Linked DNA regions of Kluyveromyces lactis. The protein of the gene in region 2 interacts with the protein of the main gene of each other region in a pairwise test. Links are inferred from orthologs where the notes say so. Each region holds a gene or a part of one and is shown on either strand. Other genes may lie near its edges. The genes, in order: APS1 and APM1.

Region 1 (2,582 bases), on a different chromosome or scaffold from region 2:
TAGAAGGGGTTTTAACTAGAAAGAAAGTAATGACGCTAATAAAGATGTTTGCAGCTAGACAAGCCATAGGAAGATTTGCATTGATACAGAACAGAAACTTTCATGCTACGCCGATGAGATGTTATAAAAAATGGAATGAACTAAAGAAGGATGATAAGCAGGAGTTCATCAAGAATTTCGTTCTTTTGTACAAAGAAAAGCATCCATGCAGTAAGAGTAACGTAATGTACAGGGCGTTGGCCAGTGAAATGGATGAATACGATGATACCCCATACGTATTTGGTGTTTTGTACAATGAGATTAGGGCTGTTGAAAAAGGCGAATCTACTGATAACGAGAAAGGTGTAGGTGCGATGGGGGATGCAGATTTTGTAAAACTATTGTACAAGTAGAATTGTTGAGTTTCCGTACATAAAGAAAGAAAGGATAATATATTGTACATATTCACAATTTAATTTAAATTTCTATTCATCTCGGTCAGTATCACGTCAATTGCTTGAATGCATGCATTCTCAACTCAATACCCTATCAAGGTCATCATTTGATTCAATTGCATCCATGGCCTCCACAACATGTATAACTTCATCTTTACTAGTTTCTATTATAGATCCGTCACACATTATCATTTCATCCAATATGCTGTATGCCTTGCTAAAATTGAATATGATATCTAACTCGCAGACGTTCCCAAAATATCTATCCATAGTTTCCACAAATCTGTGTATAATTTCTAAAGTCAACAATTCGTTGTCCGAATCCAAATCAATCCCTGCAATGAAGTATAAACTGGCATATTTCTTGTACACGACTTTGTGATCTTGATATTCTAGAATATTGCACATTTTTGACTTCCTGGACAGTACGTTAGTCGTCACTTCCCTTAGTATTTTATGCTTGTACTTTATATCGAAGGGTTGATACCATCTGATTAACCTAGTCTTGCCTTGCCTCGACGTGAGAAGCATGTACTTAATCTGTGACATTTCAATGACCTTTTTTGTTTATAACGAATAGGATAGCTTTTGTCTCTTAAGCTCGGTGGTTGTGGTATTTAATGCCCTTGTTAATCGTTTATCCGTAGTTTCTCGGATACACCAATTGAAAAGTTGTAGAGCTGAATAATAACCTTAATTTTAAAACATCAACTGGGACAGAATTAGACTTAAACTTTGATTCTAGTGACCTGTTATTCTTTGTTTGTTTTCTTTTGCTTACATGCTGATTCATTCGATTCAGTTACGTTATTACATTCATGTTATATTAATAGTTAATATAACGAAAAATGAGAATCACCGCAGACGACTTTGCATGAAGCTGAAGAAGCGGATACACAAAGGATACATGCAATATATAATTTACATATCCATGACCTGGCCTAATCTTCATCTTCTGGAGGTGGAACCCATGCTGGTGGTTTGAAATATTCTTGATCACTGGCGACATCTTGCTTGAATTTTTCTCTATCGTCACAGAATTCGAGCAAATACTCGATTTCCAATTCATGGGTTTGCCTACCGAGTATAACTAAAGAATGCAATGGTTCACCAGAATCATATTCGGCTAGCTCTTTGATGGTACCTGCTTTGAAGGTTTGGCTTGCAGAACCTAGTCTTGAGATTGCTACACAGGGAGTATCAGGAGTATATGCCTCAGTGCCTCTTGTTTCTTCAATTTCCAATAGTTGTTCACAACATTGTGCAATACTCATGTATCTTGGAGGCTCATAAATGAGTCTTCCACGAGCCATATTCTCTATACTCTGTTCCTTCACTTTGATATCTAGAAGAACCAAGGTGTGCAACCCGATTTTCCGGTTTTCCCATATCTTGTCGTACCAGGAATCTGGTCTCCAACTATCGGTGAAAAAGACCATAGAGATCGTTTGACCAAAATTGTATAGTTGCAACCCACATGATCCTACTGCATTCATAACAGACGCGTTATGGATGACTTCTACTGGAATATTCCTTTGCTTGGCACGCAACACCAAGTCAGTATGAGTGGTGGCTCCAAAAACGTCACCGACAACCAAAAACGCAACATCTTCTTTATCGGCATCACGGAGAAGTTCTTCAGCTCCCGATTCGACAAGTTCCCTGTCAGCTAGTGTAACTTTCTTGCCATAAAATTCCTCTAGTTCTTCTAGAGAAGCTGTCATCAATATGGAAGTGTAGTGCTCCAAGTACACTCTCGAACATTGCTTGATGGCATTCAAGCCTCTGACGGTGATATCTGTTTCGTAAGAAAGACCTAATCCAATAAAGTACAACATAGCTACCAAAACTACCCTCGTTACTTAAAACTTCCTCAGTTACAATTTGAAGCAGAGACCAAGCTAAGTGCAATTACTCCATTCCCTCCTGTCAACCATGCGATGAGCTAGTCATCTCGATCCACTTTAATTAAAATTTTCAACAATTCGATACGTTATGAAGTTGGGACAAAAAGAGAAAATGAATGGTATCAGCTCATATCTAACAAAATAATTGGATCTTTAGATTACACCACGATCTCTCCTCTTCAGCACTTATACCAGAACTTTGAGTATACCAGACAGTAAGGGCGGTATTCAGGAGACCTTT
Region 2 (3,484 bases):
GCAAAGAACTTCACTGTCAATTCAGCTGCCAATTGATCTACCCATGCGGTATGGAAATAAACGCCATCATATCTGAACTATATATATATATATATAAATCAATGAGATATACCGATATTTATTTCAATAATGAAACATGAACAAAAGCTTCCAAAGGCATTCCCATGTTTCTTCTATTATGGCCATGCTCGTGGGTAAAGCATATTTACCAGAACCTATTGTGTCATCTGTGGCCCCTTTTACATGACAAAAGTAAGTCGGTTATATTCTATTCTTGTCGTAAATGTTTCAAGAATGAAGCGGTGGCTCAATGGTAGAGCTTTCGACTCCAGTTAAATTCTGGGAATTTTCCAAGGAAACAAAATTGCAATCGAAGGGTTGCAGGTTCAATTCCTGTCCGTTTCATTTTTTAACATTTTTGCATAGCTAGTCACATGACTACTTTTGCCACGTGGATTATGATTTTGTCCAATAAACTCTCATCGAATTTACTATTCCGCGATAGTTTAATGGTTAGAATTCGCGCTTGTCGCGTGCGAGATCGGGGTTCAATTCCCCGTCGCGGAGGAATTTTTTTACATTTTTGTATCAAGGTACAATCTCATCCTAAAACCCATTGTAGTACAGAAACAGAGAAGCATTATTAACATACACTGAACAGAGACTCTAACCTTATCAATCCTCACATGCCCAATGTTGTACTTTCTTCAAGATTAACGAATAATGATTCAGTGTTCTTGCAGGAATGGATTAAACCTTCGGTAAGGCCTTATTATTTAAAGAATGAAAAGACGAAATTCTGGCCAGAACAACGTGAACTGGTAACGGACTTACTAGAACATGATATCATAGAGTCAGCTTTCCAAACGGCTTTGAATCCCGCACCTCAGAGGTTCGTCAGAATTGTTAAATTCCATAGAGTAAACGATTACACCGTTTATGCAACGATTAGAGACTCTACAGCATTAATTCTATGCTACTTCACTGTAGACTGCGTGCTAGATTACGAAACTATAAACAATGATAGGATCACATTGAATACACTGAATACGTTGTTCGTCATCGGCAATGTAACCCTACAGTTTTGGAACCACAGAGAGTGCAAATTATGGTTCAATCAGGATTTTCCTGGACTTCGAATGGTCCCCGTGCTCAAGATTGAAAAGGCCCGGATGTTTGACAGAGACCAGATCTCGTCCAATGTCCAATTTGAATGGGTATATGACACACTTCATGGTTGAAGGTCTCTCTTGCCGAGTGTTCGCATTGTTAGATGCAATTTAGCACCTCGTGTATGTGGTGTACCGCTGTAAATAAGTGAAATTTCGGTATCCAAAGCATTGAAATCTCGAAACTACATTTATAAATAGTGTCTGAACAATGAACAATCTAAGTAATAGCCAAACCGTACACTAATATATCGGTATAGGACCCTGTATAGTAACCAATTGTGCAGTATCACTAGTGTGTTTTTTGCTCTTTCTTTGGTGGAGTTTCAGGAGGCAACATTTCTTAAAAAGATACCAGTATAATGGCTTCGTACGTTGCATTTTGTGATTCAAAGGGTAAGCCACTACTCTCGAGAAGATACCAAGATGATGTCTCACAGTCTGCTGTCGAATCGTTCCAGCATTTGTTACTAGAAAGAGAACAGGAAAGCAGTGTCATGCCTCCTTGTTTCCATCACAATGGGATTCACTACATGTACGTGCAGTATAACGATGTTTACGTGCTAGCATTGACCAGGTCAGTATCCGTTAATGCTACCACTATGTTCGCCTTCATGTACAAGTTGATCAATGTAGTTGAGGAGTACGTGAAAAGGGTGGAAGAAGAGTCAATCAGAGATAATTATATTATCATATACGAACTTTTAGACGAAATGATGGATAAAGGCGTTCCGCAAGTGACAGAAACGAAAATGTTGAAACAGTATATTACTCAGAAGTCATTCAAATTGACTAGGTCAGCGAAGAAGCAAAAGAATGTGGCTAGACCACCAACCGAATTGACCAATTCTGTCAGTTGGAGACCAGAGGGTATCAAGTACAAGAAGAACGAAGCGTTCTTGGATGTAATCGAATCGATCAATATGCTAATGACACAGCAGGGCCAAGTATTAAGATCTGAGATCTTGGGTACTGTCAAAGTTAGATCCCGTTTATCTGGTATGCCTGATTTGAAATTGGGTTTGAATGATAAAGGTATTTTCACAACTAATGATCAAGAAGATTCACCTGAACCTGTAGTTTCTTCGAAGAAAAAGAATAGTAATATAGAACTTGAGGATCTAAAATTCCATCAATGTGTGAGATTGAGCAAGTTTGAGAATGAAAAGATTATCACGTTCATCCCACCTGATGGGGAATTTGATCTAATGACTTATAGACTCTCTACCCCGATCAAACCTTTGATATGGTGTGACGTTAAGGTACAGGTACATTCAGGGTCTCGTATCGAGATTCACTGTAGGGCAAAGGCACAAATTAAAAAGAAGTCAGTAGCGAATAATGTGGAGATTTTAATACCGATTCCGGAAGACGCAGATTCGCCCACGTTCAAATATTCTCGTGGTAATATCAAGTGGGTTCCTGAAAAGAATGCAATTCTATGGAAATTTAGTAGTTTCCAAGGTGGTAAAGAGTACTCAATGGCTGCGCAACTGGGGTTGCCCTCAGTCTCTGATGCTGAACCACCAAAATTAAAAAGACCAGTACAAATCAAATTCCAAATTCCTTATTTCACAACATCCGGTATTCAAGTTCGTTATTTGAAAATCGAAGAACCAAAGCTACAGTATAATAGTTATCCTTGGGTACGTTACATTACGCAGAGCGGAGACGATTACACCATCAGGCTGTGAAAGTGACCATGATTTGAAGAATTTCTGGCCATCCTACTCTAATCTATCAGTGCTTATATGAGGAGAAAGATTCATTTGCAATTAAAAATGAAACGCCCTTGAGAGAAACGCTACTCAATCTGATCTTATGTGTGTATATAGTAATATAAATCTTTTTCCATTCTCAATTATGTTTAAATCCTTTGACATTTACTATTACATATGAGAAATCGATCGTCAGTAACTATGTTAGCCACTGGGTTTTATAAAGACTTGGCCAATTCTAAAACCTCTTTCTTACCTTCTTCAATACTGACCTCAGGTGAAACTTGAACCCTCTTCACTTCTAGTTTACCGTTCTTGAAGATCCAGTGAGATCTGACAACACCAGAAACAGCTGTCTTCTTAGCACCCAAAGCTCCGATAAATTCACGTTTAGGGTCGCTTAATAGATCAAAAGGCAAGGCTTGCTTAGTTTGGAAACTCTTCTGAGACTTTGGAGCGTCAGCACTTAGTCCAAAAACAGCAGCGTGTTCCTTCAATTCGCTATAATTGTCTCTGTAGCCACACGCTTGTCTAGTACAACCAGGTGTACTGGCCTTTGGATAAGCAAAGAACACCACTAATTTATTCTTGGAGGCA

Evidence for each region.
Region 1: the proteins of APM1 (region 2) and APS1 interact in binary tests that used the Saccharomyces cerevisiae proteins (3 or more experiments, as listed by UniProt). The link is inferred for Kluyveromyces lactis from reciprocal best matches to the Saccharomyces cerevisiae genes APM1 and APS1.

What each region holds. Positions count from the first base shown.
Region 1 is NC_006042.1:2,118,754-2,121,335, forward strand, and holds APS1 (Aps1p), read right to left. Parts: upstream 984-2,582; coding exon 513-983; downstream 1-512. Other genes in the region: KLLA0_F22792g (uncharacterized protein), read left to right, coding at 30-392; DPH5 (diphthine synthase), read right to left, coding at 1,376-2,272. UniProt on the Saccharomyces cerevisiae protein: Component of the adapter complexes which link clathrin to receptors in coated vesicles. Clathrin-associated protein complexes are believed to interact with the cytoplasmic tails of membrane proteins, leading to their selection and concentration.
Region 2 is NC_006040.1:1,215,043-1,218,526, forward strand, and holds APM1 (Apm1p), read left to right. Parts: upstream 1-1,531; coding exon 1,532-2,863; downstream 2,864-3,484. Other genes in the region: KLLA0_D14201g (2-isopropylmalate synthase), read left to right, coding at 1-36; telomerase subunit EST3, read left to right, coding at 687-1,241; thioredoxin peroxidase DOT5, read right to left, coding at 3,106-3,484. UniProt on the Saccharomyces cerevisiae protein: Component of the adaptor complexes which link clathrin to receptors in coated vesicles. Clathrin-associated protein complexes are believed to interact with the cytoplasmic tails of membrane proteins, leading to their selection and concentration.